Linked DNA regions of Oryctolagus cuniculus. The protein of the gene in region 2 purifies or fractionates together with the protein of the main gene of each other region. This does not show direct contact. Links are inferred from orthologs where the notes say so. Each region holds a gene or a part of one and is shown on either strand. Other genes may lie near its edges.

Evidence for each region.
Region 1: the proteins of TP53RK (region 2) and NUP43 purify together in Homo sapiens (affinity purification with mass spectrometry; 3 studies listed by BioGRID and IntAct, counting the BioPlex papers as one, with this or other methods). This does not show direct contact. The link is inferred for Oryctolagus cuniculus from reciprocal best matches to the Homo sapiens genes TP53RK and NUP43.
Region 3: the proteins of TP53RK (region 2) and LAGE3 purify together in Homo sapiens (affinity purification with mass spectrometry; 5 studies listed by BioGRID and IntAct, with this or other methods). This does not show direct contact. The link is inferred for Oryctolagus cuniculus from reciprocal best matches to the Homo sapiens genes TP53RK and LAGE3.
Region 4: the proteins of TP53RK (region 2) and OSGEP purify together in Homo sapiens (affinity purification with mass spectrometry; 5 studies listed by BioGRID and IntAct, counting the BioPlex papers as one, with this or other methods). This does not show direct contact. The link is inferred for Oryctolagus cuniculus from reciprocal best matches to the Homo sapiens genes TP53RK and OSGEP.

The regions. Positions count from the first base shown.
Region 1 is NC_091436.1:18,268,157-18,272,436, reverse strand, and holds the start of NUP43 (nucleoporin Nup43), read right to left. Parts: upstream 2,928-4,280; 5' UTR 2,857-2,927; coding exon 2,737-2,856; intron 2,464-2,736; coding exon 2,341-2,463; intron 681-2,340; coding exon 603-680; intron 1-602. UniProt on the Homo sapiens protein: Component of the Nup107-160 subcomplex of the nuclear pore complex (NPC). The Nup107-160 subcomplex is required for the assembly of a functional NPC.
Region 2 is NC_091442.1:12,878,728-12,882,893, reverse strand, and holds TP53RK (EKC/KEOPS complex subunit TP53RK), read right to left. Parts: upstream 2,708-4,166; 5' UTR 2,656-2,707; coding exon 2,379-2,655; intron 1,269-2,378; coding exon 790-1,268; 3' UTR 690-789; downstream 1-689.
Region 3 is NC_091453.1:132,705,484-132,708,794, forward strand, and holds LAGE3 (EKC/KEOPS complex subunit LAGE3), read right to left. Parts: upstream 1,921-3,311; 5' UTR 1,834-1,920; coding exon 1,625-1,833; intron 1,353-1,624; coding exon 1,224-1,352; intron 944-1,223; coding exon 829-943; 3' UTR 628-828; downstream 1-627. UniProt on the Homo sapiens protein: Component of the EKC/KEOPS complex that is required for the formation of a threonylcarbamoyl group on adenosine at position 37 (t(6)A37) in tRNAs that read codons beginning with adenine.
Region 4 is NC_091443.1:54,296,176-54,300,410, reverse strand, and holds the start of OSGEP (tRNA N6-adenosine threonylcarbamoyltransferase), read right to left. Parts: upstream 2,928-4,235; 5' UTR 2,728-2,927; coding exon 2,613-2,727; intron 876-2,612; coding exon 756-875; intron 586-755; coding exon 410-585; intron 1-409. Other genes in the region: DNA repair nuclease/redox regulator APEX1, read left to right, coding at 3,653-3,710, 3,926-4,113. UniProt on the Homo sapiens protein: Component of the EKC/KEOPS complex that is required for the formation of a threonylcarbamoyl group on adenosine at position 37 (t(6)A37) in tRNAs that read codons beginning with adenine.

The sequences.
Region 1 (4,280 bases), on a different chromosome or scaffold from region 2:
ACTAGAATAGGAACTTAAAGAATTATGGAAAATTACCTGCCAAATTACCATATTGCTTCATCCAAACTAACAGAATGCATTGCAGGTTTACCCAATTTCAATAACAGCTCACAGGGCTGGCGCTGTGGCGTAGCAGGTAAAGCCACCACCTACAATGCCGGCATCTCATATGGGCAATGGTTCAAGTCCTGGCTGCTTCACTTCCCATTTAGCTCCCTGCTAATGGCCTGGGAAAGCAGTAGAGGATGGCCCAAGTGCTTGAGCCCCTGCACCCAAGCAGGAGACCTGGAAGAAACTCCTGACTTCTGGCTTTGGTCTGGCCCACCCCTGGCTGATGCAGCCACTGAGAAATGAACCAGTGGAAGGAAGACCTTTCTGTTTCTGTCTTTCCCCTCCTTTCTCTGTAATTCTCTTTCAAAAACAAACAAACAAACAAACAAACAACTCACAAAAACATGGTTCTAGAATTACATTCGCAAAAAGTAATGATATTTTCCCCCCCTTCATATCGTAAGGCTTTAAAACTATTAAATACGGTTTTCCTTACACCTTTCTAAAAATAACTAAAATACAAATTCACTTTTCAAACCAAAGTTCTTTACCTGGTTATTTGGATGGTGAAGGAAAATTGTTACACATCCTGTTGATGAAGCAGCTACAATTCTTTCCTGGTCAAAAAACTAAACAGAAAAATTCCTGCTTATTATAGATTCAGAAAAACTAGTAGGGAGGAAACCCGTTGTTTAACTGAATTTATAGCAAATTACGTAACTGTAAAAGGTAAAAAGCCTGTAAGTGCTACCCAAATAACATTTGTTAGATCTAAAAGTTAACATTGCTATACAAATAAAGGTATTTTCATGAGGAATAAATGGTTGGCCAAGTTAAATTCTCTAAGCCTTGGAATGTGGTGGGCATTTGGCTTGCTATGATGTTGGGTTGAGATGCCCAAGTTCAGAATGCCTGTGTTCAACACCCAGTTCTGGCTCCTTATTTCAGCTTCCTGTTAACGCAGGTCCTGCAAAGCAATGGTAATGACTCAAGTAATTGGGTCCATGCTACCCACATGGGAGACCTGGACTGAGTTCCTGGCTCTTGGCTCCTGATTGACGCAGGCTTTGGTGAATGAGCCAGTTGATGGGAGCTCTAACAAATACATTAAAAAAGAAATTTCCCTGAGGCCACTGCTGTGGTACAATAGGCTAAGCTTCCGCCTGCAGGGCCAACATCTCACACGCACCCTGGTTTCCATCCTGGCTGCTCCTCTTCTGACCCGGCCCTCTGCTATGGTCTGAGAAAGCAGTAGAGGATGGCCCAAGTCCTTGGACCCCTGCACCCGCATGGGAGACTGGGAAGAAGCTCCTGGCTTCAGATCAGCCCAGTTATGGCCATTGCAGCCATTTGGGGAGTGAACCAGCAGATCGAGAACTTTCTCTCTGTCTCTAACTCTACCTCTCAAATAAGTAAATTTTTAAAAATCTGTATTTTTAAACAGGGAGTACTAATCCTACTCAGGGTGGGTTATGAGAAATCAAAAAATTTAAAAGACCTACCCTGCACAGTATTTGTCACAAATGAGGATAATTCAAGAAGTTTATGGAAAATGAAATTAAAAGATAATGCATTCTAGTGCAAAATTTTTAAAAGCCCATGCATAGTTTATCTATAATATGCATTTTCCATGAACTTTGAGATCCTTAGCAGTGTGTGCTCGAAAGATAATATTCTTAGCATTCTCACGGGCAAAATAGAAATAACAATACTGACTCACAGACATGTAATTAGAATTAAACGGTCTTATGTAAAACTCCAAAAATATCACTTGCAGGCCGGCACCGCAGCTCAATAGGCTAATCCTCCGCCTGCGGCGCCGGCACACCGGGTTCTAGTCCCGGCTGGGGCGCCGGATTCTGTCCCGGTTGCTCCTCTTGCAGTCCAGCTCTCTGCTGTGGCCCGGAAAGGCAGTGGAGGATGGCCCAAGTGCTTGGGCCCTGCACCCGCATGGGAGACCAGGAGGAGGCACCTGGCTCCTGGCTTCGGATCGGTGCAGCGCCGTCCGAGGTGGCCATTTGAGGGGTGAACCAACGGAAGGAAGACCTGTCTCTCTCACTAACTTTGCCTGTCAAAAAAAAAATAATAATAATAAAATAAAAAAATCGCTTGCAGCTGGGAGGTTGTGCCACTAAGTGATCAGTCTACGTTGGGTAAATCCTAACCTATGGAGAACTCGCTTTCCTGTAAACTAGGGGTGAGGCCAGGAGAGCTCTCAGGTCTCTGCACTCTAAATGCACTGCTCTGGCTTTCTTTAGAAGCGAGCCTCTGGGCACTGGACGCGTTTACCTGTAAGTCCATGACGTCACCATGGTGTTTGATATCGCACAACAGTCGATGGTCTCCTTCCAGGCTTCCATCAGAGTCCGGGTTTCCGAAATCTCCGATAGACCACAGTGAAACGTGATTCTCCTGTAAAGCAAACGGCTTCATCTTGAGATGACAGAACCGTCAACTCTGGAAAGTAAACCCAATGCGTATCGCCTTAAGGCAACCTGGGCTCCAAAGCATCTCACACGGCATGGGCAGAATGTGAAACAAGAAGACGGGGGCTCGGGCACACCCACGCTGGCTGCAGCCGAGCCCCCGGACCCGGGGCCGGGGAGGATGGAAAGTCGCGCGCTCCAGGGCACCTGGGCGTGGGAGAGGACGGAGCCCCGGGGTCCCGCCCCGGAGCCAGGGTACCTCATTGTCCCAAGAGCCCGTGGCAAAGGTCTCGGCGGTCTGCAGGCTCCCCGGAGGCACCGGCCGCCAGCGGGTTTTGCTGATTTTCTCAGACACAAACTTGGCATACAGCTCCTCCATGCTGAAAGCAACAGCAGCAGGCACAGCCAGCCGCGCGCCGCGCGCCTCCGGGTTCCGCCCCTTCCCGCGGAGCTCTGATTGGATGGGAGCTCGCCGGGCGACGGCGGCCGCGAAGGGCCAATTCCCAGCGGAAGGCGGTGCAGGCACTGCCGGGCCCGGACCAGGAGGGGTCTGAGGCGCCCATGATCAGCGAGGTGGCTTTGAGCAAAACCAAGAGTGCCCCGGCCTATGTGCAGTGGGATCTGCACCCGACATGCAAATGCAGAGGAGGAACATGGAGACAACGTGCTTGTGCAATAACTTAAGAACAAAATCACTGCGTGGGAAACCACCTTGCAGGCACATCAGCTGCTTGTCACTATGCATAGCAAACAACTCAAAATCCTTCAATCTTCATGGCACTATTTCCAATAAAGTACGAATTTATTATCCTAAACCTTTGACTCCAGTTTTAGTTCTGCTGCCAGTTACCTAAGGTTACCTAACTGTAACCTTGGTCAACTCACTTACATACGTAATTTTTTAAGAAAAGATTTATTTCAAAGGCAGAGTTGCAGAGAGAGGGAGAGACACACACACAGAGGGAGCTCTTCCATCCGCTGGCTCACTCCCCAAATGGTGGCTTAGGCCAGGGCTGGGTCAGGTCAAAGCTGGGAACAGCCAGGACGCAAATCGGCGGCTAAAACCACTGTGCCACAACACCGGCTCCACTTCCATTACATAATTAAGAACGGATTTTGTGATACCTAACGTCCACAGCCTGGGGCATGAGTGCTGCGGGTTCCTTTAGTGCCTTTGGTTATGGCTAAAATACCTTTCCACTCCTCCTCTCAGAATCCTGTCCACCCTTCACCCTTTCCCTGACGGCCTCAGCGGAGGATGAGGAGGAGAATAAAACAGAACGTTTCGTATCTGCATCACTAAGAGCACGCATTTTGCCCCGTTTCTGGTTTCCTTTTCCAAAGCTCCTTAGCGTGGAAATCCTACTGATTCCAAGAGGTATGATTTATTCCACCTTGGCAACTCTCTTACACCGCTGTATTCATAACTATATGTTGTCTCTTTAAAGGGGGCCGTGCCGGGCTGCCGGTTTACGAGGTCGGGGGTCCCACTTCACCGGGACAGTTTGTGCAAGGAGTGGACGAAACGTAACCGCCGCGGCCGGCTTCGGTGAGAGTTACCAGGGTCTGCTCTGCAGCCGAAGATCGCCAGCCGTCTGCGGAGAGACGGAACGGGCGCCCGGGAAGCGGATGAGCCCCAAGTCGACAATTTCATTCCTATCATATATCCACGGAAAGAACAATTGCGTGTGGGCTCGTTTACGACCACAGAACCCCGACAAGAGGACATGCGTATTTTTGAACAGTGTCACATTCGACAGAACCTGGTAAGCGCGAGAACTTGAAAACTGCTGCTGATCTAAG
Region 2 (4,166 bases):
GCCCTTTGTAAGAGGAAAGAGAAAATGAGGCTCTAGAGCACGTATCGTGCTTTGCCATGACCCTTAACAGAAACACGTCCGAAGCAGCTTTCAAAGCAGCTTTCATCAAACAGTGCGCTCTGCTACCTTCTGGTCGGACTCTATCCCACGAGTCTGAAGACGAGCTCATCACCAACGGTCTGATGTGTCACCAGCAGCACCGACAGCGAACGTTCTGCTCACCCAGCCACAGGCTGCTTTCGATGCTATGTCTACGCACCTGAGGCTTACACACCAAAGCTGAAAGGCAGGCCTGCCCTGGATTGACTTTCTCGTGAATCATTCACTCAAGAGACAGACAGATGAAGGCAGAGAGTGCACTCCCCTGCACTGGTTCACTTCTCATACGCCCACGATGGCCGGGGTTAGGCAGGGACCAGAGCCCGGAAGGCAATCCAGGTCTCCCACAGGGATGGCAGGGGCCGGTTACTCGAGCCATCACTGCAGCCTCCTAGGATCAGCGCTGGTGGGAAGCCGGTCGCGCCACACCCAGGCACCCCGAGACAGGACACAGGGGTCTCAACCGCTAAGCTGATGCCCAGTCCTGGATTGACTGCAAACACCCAGTTCTGCCTGGAGCACCTCACGCAAGCTCTTAGGAATACTCACTGCAGATGGCGACACTCAACAGGCATGACCACACACACGGCTTCAAAACAGCTCGATACATTTATTGAGGCCTAGTCTCACGTTTGTAGAGTCCAGATTTACCCTGAAGATCGGCCTAGCCTTGTGGAGCCGCCTCGCGTCCTACCCGACCATCGACCGCTTTCTGCCCCGCAGCCGGACTTCGTCCAGCTTTCGGAGCACTGGCCTGGCCTTCCTGGAGGCGCTGGCGTAGCTCTTCAGGAAGGCCTCGAACACGGGCTCGGTGTTCGGGTGGGTGCTGAGGAAGGCCTTCTCCAGGACGTACAGGTCCACGCCCTTATCTTCCGGAAGCCCCGAGACGAAGCTCAGCCCAAAGTCGATGAGCACGATGCTCAGCTGCTCCGCCGGGGGCTTCAGGAGCATGTTGGAGGTCGTGAGGTCCCCATGGATGAGGTCTTCGTCGTGCATCCGAGCCAGCACCTGCCCGATCGCCTTGGCCAAGCCACAGAGGCTCTGGGGGGTTCCTTCAGAGTCCAGGGTGGACTGGATATAATCCCGCACCGTGACTGAGCCTTCGATTTCCTCCATGTACAAGCAGTTGGAAGCATAGTCCACGAAAAAGACCACTGGGGCACAGATGCCTGGAATCAAGACGCGGGGGGTTACTGGGTTGCATTCTTGGTTTTTTCCCTTAGTCAAGGCTTCATTTTCAAAGTTAAGTGAGTCTTCCAGTCTTTACTCACTTCAGGAAACAGCTTTAGGAAACGGCACAACTCGACTCTGGAACATTCTCGGGCTCAGGCCTGAGACCATTAAACAGCCCGGGGTAGGGGGGCCAAAGCTTCCTCCTTCCCCACACTACAACTTGGGGCTGAACCCTAGTTCTCACACCAACCTGGGAGCCAGCAGGGGAGGCCCGGCCCAGACAGAAGTTTCTGGACACAACGGAGCCCGGCAGAGTGGCCACGGGGAGGCTCATTTCGCAGTCTGTAAGGGTGGAGTCCGATCCCTGCGCTTAGCAGCGGTGCGACCTCGGTTTATGCTACTCATGGGGTCGCCACCCTCAGTGCGCACAGTCAAGGAGGCCACGTTCTAGAAACGGAGACCTCTCCCGGGGCTACAGCCCACGATCCCCGCTGCACGGCGCCTGCAGCGCAGAGAGGGGTGAACACAGACGCCCGCAGCTTCCGGAACCGCAGAAACGCCCGGGACTTGTCCGCCTGCTCTCCCCCAGCTTCCCCGCGCCTCCCAGCCCCCGACATGGCCCTGGTGTGCAGGAGGTCGGGAGGATGTGACCCGGGAAAGCTGCTGCCGCTCTCCCAGCCCCAGGTTCTCGGCTGAGGTCGGAGTTCCCGGCGGCGGGGCACAGGGGTGCTTTCATGAAAAAAATGAACGAATGAAGTCTAACACGTGCCAGGCTGACATTCAAACACAGCCGGCGACCGCTCACAGCGCCCCCGGAGGCGGGCTCCCCAGCACCGCTGCCGCCTTGCAGGCAAGGACGCCGAGGCTGCGCGAGACGCGAGCCCAGAGAGCCCGGCTGCTGTGACGGAAACCCTGACACCGCACGCGGGAAAACCCAAGGCCAAGGCGGCAAAGCAACCGTGCACCACCGAGCAACAGTCAGGGCCCAAACGCGCCAGCAACTCGCCCGGAGCGCATCGAGACCGGGCGCGAGGACGACGCGTCCCGACCGGGGGTCCGGGCGGCAGGCGCCAGTGCACCCCCAGGCCCCGGCCGCGCCGCCTCACCTGCGCGGCGGCAGCGGAGCAGCGCCCGCGCCTCCTGCACCGTCCGCCGCCGGCCGAGCCGCGCCTCCAGCGTCGGGTGCCGGTAGCCCTTGGGGAAGCGGTGCTTCACCACGGCCGCCCGGCCCTGGAAGCGGCCGCGGAACACGCGCGCCTCGGCGCCCTGCTTCACCAGCTGCAGGCCGCTCAGGAAGCGGCTGCTCCGCTCCAGGGCCGCGGCCAACGCCTCCGCCGCGGGCTCTTCGTGATTCTCTGTGGCACCAGCGTCGGGGGCCGCCATGGCAGCGCTTCCGCCCTCCCCGGAAATGCCGGCGACGCTTCCGCTCGCTCCGAAAATCCTCCGGGCTCTTCCGCCTCTCTAGCGGCTCCCCCTGCAACACTTCCGCCCTGGGAAAATGGTTCCGCCTCCCAACTTTCGGCTCCTGTCAGAGCCTTTGGTGCCCGCAGCGAACGGCTCTGTGACTCCGCCCCCAGCCCTTCGGCTATCTCCGTAAACGCTCGGCAACTCTCGGGAAATCGTTCCTCACCACTGCTCGGCACTTTCCGGAAGCCCTCGGTGACGCTGGCGAGCTGCCGGGGGCGGGGGTGCTCGGCTCCCAGTTCTTCGGCTCTTTCCGGAAAACTTCGGCTACTTTCGATTAAAACGATTTTTGGGGTGCTCTTTGCCCTTCTCAGGAGTTCCTCAGGATCCTGGAAAGCTTTGCGGCCAGTAGAGCCTTTTCGGAACTCACAAGGCTCACTGCAGTCAGAGCGGGTGCTGGGATAGCAACCACCGTTTCTCTCAGCGCCTTGGGGAATAATAAGGTTAAACGGTGGAAAACCCTCCTTACAGAAAACAGACTCAGGACTATGGTGATGGCCAGATCACTGGGGCCGAGAGGGGACAGAACCTAACTGTGTTGCAGAAATTGATGACTTTATCACAAGGCTGATAGGAGCAGTAACAGATTCTTGCTATAAAGAATTTTGCACTCAGTCATCAAAGATTGCTATACTCCTCACCAGGCCCCACAGAACTTTATATGTATCATGCCTTTCTAGATGCATTTTTAAAAGATTCGTGTATTTATTTATTTGAAATAGTTACAGAGAGAAAGGAGGAGACAGAGAGGTCTTCCACCTGCTGGTTCACTCCTCAAAAGACCATAATGGCCAGGGTTGGGCCAGGCCAAAGCCAAGAGCCAGGAGCTTCTTCCTGGTCTCCCACAGGGTGCAGGGGCCTGAAGCCTCGAGCCACCCTCTGCTGCTTTCCCGGGCCATTAGGAGGGAGCTGGATCAGAAGTGGAGCAGCAGGGACTCTAACCGGCACGCACGTGGGATGGCGGGTCACAGGCGGCAGCTTTACCTGCTACCCCACAGGGCCAGCCCCTCCACATGTTTTTATACAATGTGCATGCACACACATATCATTGTGAGGCTTCTCCCCCAACAGAAATGAGAATATGATGCACATTATTTTGCTACTTGCTTTTTTCCCCCTAAGCAGTTTGTCCCAGATAATCTTCCTTATCAGAATATCTAGAGCTGCCACATCCTTCTACAGGGTCAAACGGTTCCTTGTTGCTAAGTTTTAGTACATTTCTTATTGTCGTTTTACTTTCTCTTACGAAACGCTGCGATGAACAGGCTGATCCAGGCATCATTCATTGCAGCATGCACAAGTGTTTCTGGGGACGTCTGTCTACAAGTGATGTCACTGGGTGCAGGAGACAAGCTCTTTAAAATCCGATCCGTCAGCCAAACTGCCCTTCCAAAGGTCTGTGTCTTTTTAGAGTTCTATGCAAGTATATC
Region 3 (3,311 bases), on a different chromosome or scaffold from region 2:
TGGAACTCTATCTGGGTTTCACACATGGGTGGTAGGGGCCCAAGGATTTGGGCCATGTTATGCTGCTTTTCCAGGGGCATTGGCAGGAAGGTGGATGGGAAGTAGAGCAGCTGGGACTCAAACTGGTACTTATACGGGATGCCAGCAACGTAGGTGGCAGCTTAACCCACTGTCCCTCAACACCAGCCCCAACTTGCATTTTTTTTTATTTATTTTTATTTTTTGACAGGCAGAGTGGACAGTGAGAGAGAGAAACAGAGAGAAAGGTCTTCCTTTGCCGTTGGTTCACCCTCCAATGGCCGCCGCGGCCGGTGCACCATGCTGATCCGATGGCAGGAGCCAGGTGCTTCTCCTGGTCTCCCATGGGGTGCAGGGCCCAAGCACTTGGGCCATCCTCCACTGCACTCCCTGGCCACAGCAGAGAGCTGGCCTGGAAGAGGGGCAACCAGGACAGAATCCGGCGCCCCGACCGGGACTAGAACCCGGTGTGCCGGTGCCGCAAGGCTGAGGATTAGCCTAGTGAGCCGCGGCGCCGGCCCCCAACTTGCATTTCTTAAACATGTGAATCTCGTTTCTTCCACTGCAACTCCAGGACAATGGCAAGGATATTTGTATGTGAAAAGGATATGAAACTGGGAAGAGGTCAGTTTTATTTTCTGTGGTAGCAAACATTTAAGCACTGGTGAAAACAAACAGATCTTGAGCACCCAGAACCCAATGCAGGCAAGCCATTAGGCCCCATCCTGCTTCGGGCATGATCGCCCTAGGGAGACACATTTTCTAGGAGGCGAGCAAGGTAACAACTGGGCCCCTTTACCCAGTCCAGTCTTAGCGGGCAACGGGAGGCCCGAAGCGCTGCAGGGTGCGCACCACCAGGGAAAGCTGCTCAAGAAAGCTGATGATGGAAACTCGGAGGAGGCGAGGATCTTTAGCTGTCCAGCGGCTAAAAGGGAAGGAACAAGAAAATCAAGTCGGGGACAGTAGCTGCCCACATCCCTTGCTCTACCCCTCAGGCATCCAGTGCAGCAGATCCTGGAAGCCCCGGTATTACAGGGCCTCTCGGGCAGCGTCCCAGACCTGCTCCTTAGACTTCCCCCGGAGTGCCTCCAGGCCTCCCAGCCTACCTCTCAGTGGAGAATGGCCACATCCCCTGTTGCCTTCCCCTCACCGCCTCCCGCTCCCCCACTCCTGCCACCCCACCCCCGGCCCCCGGAAGCATTTACACCGCCAGGACGGTGCCGGTCACTGCGAGGTCCTTTCCAATCGCTTCTGGGTGAGGCTCAGCATCTGGAGCCAGGGACTCACAGGCGATTTCTGCCTCCAGACGGGTGGGAAAAGGCACACTGAGGGTACTGGTGGAGGTTTGGTAAAGGCACCATCGGAAGCGACTTTGCCCGAGTCTGTTTCCCTGGCTCTTCTGACGGCTTCCATGACCTCTCTCGGGCGCCCCCCACTGGCTAACGCTTTAATCCCACAGCCATCCGGGCGGCTCCGATTACCCTGCTCTTCTTTCTGTGCTACCGGTCCTCCCACTCGCCCTTCCCACCTTCTGTTCCAGGCTACCCTGCCCCCACCACGGGCAGCCTCCACCCCCTTCCCCCACTGTGCCCCTCCCGCAGGATACAAGGAGTGTGGTCGCATTCCCGGGCTTGCGGCTGCTGTCGCGGCGTCTCCGCCCGGAACGGCAGCGTGCGGTGCCTGCGCGACTTCTCGAGTTCCACGGGCTGCAGCTGCTTCTGTGTCGGTACCATCGGGAAAGTCGCGGCCACGCCGTCCACGCTGGGTGTGAGCGCCGCCCGCCACGCCGCCTGCGCCTGCGTCCGCAGCCTGCATGGCTGCCGCTGCCCCGCCCTCAACCCCACCCTCAGGGCGCTGCGCCACGGCCCGCCATCTCCAGGAGCTTCGTAGATTGCCCGCCCTCCTGAAGCTCCGCCCCTCGCGCACGACCACGTCCACGCGCGCCTGCGCAAACACACCTTTGACGAGGCTGTTGGGACGCCTCGTGAGTTCCCGCGATAGTGGCCCAACGTGGGGGCTCTTGGAGACCCTGGCAGCTTCAGAAACACTGCATTCGTGATTCGATGCTAGTGCGCTAGCCAGAACATACCTCCAGTGAAGCAGGCAGATGCGTGGTCGGTTCCCGACAACACAGCGCTGCTGGTACCCACAGGCCCTGGAGAAACTGAGCTGCAATATATATTTTTTTTAAGATTTATTTATTTTGGGGCCGGCGCTGTGGCTCACTTGGTTAATCCTCCGCCTGCGGCGCCGGCATCCCATACGGGCGCTGGGTTCTAGTCCCGGTTGCTCCTCTTCTCTCCAGCTCTCTGCTGTGGCCGGGAGTGCAGTGGAGGATGGCCCAAGTGCTTGGGTGCCTGCACCCGCATGGGAGACCAGGAGAGGCACCTGGCTCCTGGCTTCGGATCGGCGCAGCGCCAGCCGTAGCGGCCATTTGGGGAGACCTTCTCTCTGTCTCTTTCTCTCACTGTCTAACCCTATCTTTCAAATAAATAAATTTTAAATAGATTTATTTGAAAGAGAAAGAGGTCTTCCATCCACTGGTTCACCAGTTGCCCGCAACTGCCAGAGCTGCGCCAATCCAAAGTCAGGAGCTTCTTCAGGGTGTCCCACACAGGTGCAGGGGCCCAAGGACCGGGGCCATCTTCTACTGCTTTCCCAGGCCACAGCAGAGAGCTGGATTGGAAGAGGAGCAACCATTTCATAGCGTTGCTGGCTACAGCCTTACCTGGTAAACTACAACGCCACCTTGGCTCTAGATTTTTTTTCCGTCGCTGAAGTTTGCCAAATGTATCGTAGTTCCATTGTATCAGTTCGTTCTGTTAGGTAACAAGATCGATCTCAGACTGTGTGTGAGGCTGTTAGGTAGCAAGGGAGAGATTAGCTGTGTGTGTGAAGAGGGCCTAAGGAAAACAAAGCCCTGGTGGAAAGCAATGTAGCAGCCTGGGACGTGCACTTGGGCAGCAGTCCTGTATTTTTTTACACGACAAAGCCCTGTCCACCCCCGTCACTTTATTGGTGGCCCCAGCCTTGCCTCCCAAAAAGGCACCCCAGGAGAACCCTCTGTCTGGCGCTAAGCAGGCTGCTCAGTCTGATAACTGGGTAATAAAACTTTGGGAGGGATTTCACCCATTTCACACCCAGCAAAGCCCTTGCGGGGAAGAGAAACAGGGAAGAACTGGACCCCAGTCCCTCAGAAGGCCCGGTCTCAGTGCGGACTGGGCTCTCAGCTCAGCTCTTGGTTCTTTGGCGCTTGGCCCATCAGGAAAGTTCTAGCCGCTGAACCTTGCCCT
Region 4 (4,235 bases), on a different chromosome or scaffold from region 2:
TAAAGTTACTTACATTTTGTAGTGTTAAAATAGCAAAGTCTACATTTACCTTCATTACAAAATGTCTAGTTATCTTAAAAAAATAAATAAATAAATTGGTAGTGCCCCTTAGTTTTAATTGCTAAAATGTACAGAAAAAAAAGCTTCAAAATAATATAAGCTTAAATCCTTATCATTGTTTTCTAAATTGGAAATTCCTAATCTTTTTTGTATAATCAAATATATAAAAGTCACCTAAAGTTTTAATAACCTGTCGAAATCTGCTATTACGAACTCTGTTGTGAGTTTTCTGGTGAAGAGCTAGGTTCAGTTCTGTTTCACAGGCAGTCCCCACAACTCAGGTAAGCCACAGAAGTCACTGGTTCACTGCCCACAAAGTAGGATGAAATAGGTGGAGTACTCAAAATACCTGTGTGTTTCCCCCGCTGACATACAGCACAGTTGGGCTGGTGGCTCCAGTGATGAGACGGCCCATCTCAATGTGGCCTATACAGTGGTTCACGCCTAGCAATGGCTTATTCCACAGCTGGGCCACGGTACGAGCCACGACAGCCACAGAAACTAGTGGAGCACCCATGCCAGGACCTAGGGGACAGAAATGGTAGTCAGAATGCTGGATTGGAAAAAAACAGGTGAGGAACTAGGGAATGTCAAAGCGGGAGAGGGCTTGTGGTGGTGACAGAGGCAAGGCAGAGGACATTTTGACCTACCCAGGCTCCACATTCCTCCAACACTGACCCCTCCCCCAGTCATACCCTTGGTGTAGGCAATGCAGTCAATATCCTGGGAGGTTAATCCAGCCTCGCTCAGCGCCTCCTGCAGCAGATCTAGGATAACAGCTCGGTGGTGCCTGGCAGTGTCACCTGGAAGGAATCCTAGAAAATGGGAACAGGCCAGGGGTCATAAGGGTTTTCTGCAGCAAAGACAAGTAGAATTTTAAAACTATGACAGTGAAGCCTCCTGAGTTTCAGTAATGCAGGAAGACTCCTTCCATTCTCCTCAAGCACCCTGTCTTCCAGGTTTTCAGACACATTCTAACCTCTACGTAAGCTGTTCAGGTATCAGAAGTGCCTTTCTTCCTACTCAATTCCTACTCAGCATTAAGACCCAAGTGAGGGGCCGGCACTGTGGCGTAGTAGGTTAAGCGTCCACCTGCAGTGCCGGCATCCCATATGGGCACCAGTTCGAGTCCCCGCTGCACCACTTCCCATCCAGCTCCCTGCTGATGAAAGCAGTAGAAGATGGCCCAAATGCTTGGGCCCCTGAACCCATGTGGGAGACCCAAAAGAAGCTCCTGACTCCTGCCTTCAGATTGGTCCAGCTCTGGTCATTGTGGCCATTTGGGAAATGAGCCAGCAGATGGGAGACACCTCTCTCTCTCTCTCTCTCTCTCTCTCTGCCTATAACTCTAAAATTAAAAAAAAAAAATCTTTGAAAAAAAAAACAAACTCAACCGATACCTACCTCATGCAGAATCCTACACATAATCACATCACTGTATCTTACACCTAACAATTACAGCATAGCATTAAAATTATCAGTGGTTTCCACAGTTTAACTACAATTACCTGAAAACATTGGCTATTTGATTTATTCTTGTACTCCCAGTACCCAAGTGCTTAGAATAGGAAAGACTTAAACATAGATATACAAGCACTTCTAATACGTACAACCCGTCACATTACTTGTTCAGAGGCTGCTCTGGTACATGGAAATCATTTGCCCCCTCCTATATGTGCAGGTGTTTGAGGGGAGAGTAGGCAAGATACAATAGCTCATAAACCATACGGAACAGAAGCTGTTCAGTGTCTGGTACTTTCATTTAGTCCCCAAGACACAATGTTAAGGCACCACCACTCCCATTTTAAGAGTCACAAAGTACAGTGGGTGTTCTGGCACTTGGGACACCCACATTCCCCATGGGAGTGCCCAGGCTCAAGGCCTAGCTACTCGGCTTCCAATCCAAGTTCCTGCTGATGTGCACCCTGGCAGGGAGCAGATGATGGCCAAGAGTATGAGCCCCTGCAACCCATAAATGGGAGACACGGATGGAGCTATTGGCTCCTGGCTTCTGCCTCACTCAGCCCTGGCTACTGCAGGCATTTGGGAAGTGGACCAGTAGATGAGGTTCTCTCTGGCTGGCTGTCACCCTGCCTTTCCAGTAGATAAAAATAAGCAAAAAGCAAACATTAAAAAGTGAAAAAAAAAAAAGTCAAGAGTATCCCAATACCAGTCAATTCTATCCGGTACCTAAATCCTAATTCCTTCCATCTTCACGTCTCTCCTCCGCATTTTACAACATTTTGAGTCCATCTCTATTACACCACTCATCACGCTGTTACAATTCGTTTATACATTAGACTCCAGGGTAGATTTCTACAAGTTTATGAGGTCTTGGTACGCAAAAAGCATTCAATGAAAGCTCGACAACCCCAGAAGATTCAGGTCCAAGCGCCTGTGGCTCTTCCACTCATCCGCCTTCTGACAATAACATCACATAACCTCAACGAGCTGTAAAATGGGACAAAATTCCCCGGGCCCCATTCACTGGTGTTCAGGGAAATAGGTGATGTGCGCGGGGAAGGTCGTCGCAAATTAAGTCCAGGACTCACCTGTGCCCGGAGGCGTGACATAGGTCCGCCGCGGGTTGGCCAGCACCTTGCCATCCCGCACCACTCCCACGCCAATCTTGTTGGCGCTGCCTTCAAACCCCAGCACCGTCGGCATGGCGCCGCCTGAGAGAGAACGCCAAGGCGCCAAACACCGAGCCGCGACAGCCCTCGGCGGGCGGTACCGGCACGCTGTTGGTAAACAGTAAACCGCGCCCGGACACCAAAACCTGCCGCGGGGGCAGTGCCCGCGCCTGCGCCTGCGCCCGCCGGCGACCCACAAGGCCCCTTCCGGAACCTGTCTCCGGAGCTGCCGGGAGCGCTGAGCCGGCCTCTGCGCCGGCCCTGCCTAGTCCACTCCCCCGCCTCTCTCCTGCGGCCCAGCCCAGTCGCTGCCACTGAGCTTCTGCCCCCTCGCACGGCGCCGGCTCCTTCGGTCAGGGCGGCAGAAGGAGCCGTACATCAGGCACGAACGTGAACAGCCCAAGAACGGAGCCTTGGGACCTTCAGCCCTCCGCGGAGTGAGAGGGGCGTGTCAGAGTCTCCGTCACGTGGTGGCAGACGGCCCAATCACGCGCGGCCTCGGGTCACGTGACCACGCCAGTTACCCACGTGGGCGTCCAGCGTGCTCCCTTCTTTGTGCTCGGGTAAGGAGCCAGGCTGGGGCAGGAGCGGGGCAGGAGCAGGTCAGGTGCAGCGCTGCGTTTTTGCTTGTTGGAGGGGCCTCCGCTAGCTGCCTCACGGGACCTTTAGTAAAGGTCTCCCGTTGGCCGTAGAGCGGATCTCGCGGTGATTCAAACGCTCTATGGATAGATCTAGTTGGGGAGTGAAGCGCCGAAGGCCTGATGCACCGAGGCGGGGACAGGATTCAGAGATTATGTGGTTTGAAAGGCGGGACTTAGTGCGGGGGCCGTCCAGGGCAGGAGTTTTCTCCCCAGCCTTCGCCGGCTGAGTCGTATATCTTTGCATCCTTAGGCATCGCGGTGAAGATACTGCTTCGGTGGTCGACGTGGTTCGGGTGCCGAAGGGCGATCGTTACAGGCATGCCAAAGCGAGGGAAGAAGGGGGCCGCGGCAGAAGACGGGGAGGAGCCCAAGACGGGTGAGAGTGAAGCGGCCTCTCCCTGCCAGTCGCGGTGGGCGGGGTTGGGGGGGCTGCTTCTGAGTCCCTTGGCGAAATGTTAGCTGTGGGCCAACTCATAGCGGGCGCAGGAGAGGAAGTCGCGCTAACCGCAGGGTCGCGGTGCGTTTGCCTTGGACTCTGACTCGATGTTGGAAACCTCCAGCTCTTATCCCTACGTATTATTCTCGTTATAGAGCCAGAGACCAAGAAGGCTAAGACGGCAGCGAAGAAAAATGAAAAAGAGTCAGCAGGAGAGGGCCCCGTGCTGTATGAGGACCCCCCAGACCAGAAAACCTCACCTAGCGGCAAAGCTGCCACACTGAAGATCTGCTCCTGGAACGTGGATGGGCTTCGAGCCTGGATTAAGAAGAAAGGCTTAGATGTGAGTGGAATTCAGATTTCATGCTGAATGGTCTCAGGGCTTCATTAGCGTCTTTTCATTTTAATGCCCAGGATGTAACTTTTTTTTCTCCTTTCTTTTCTTGTGGGAGAAGTACAAGGGGC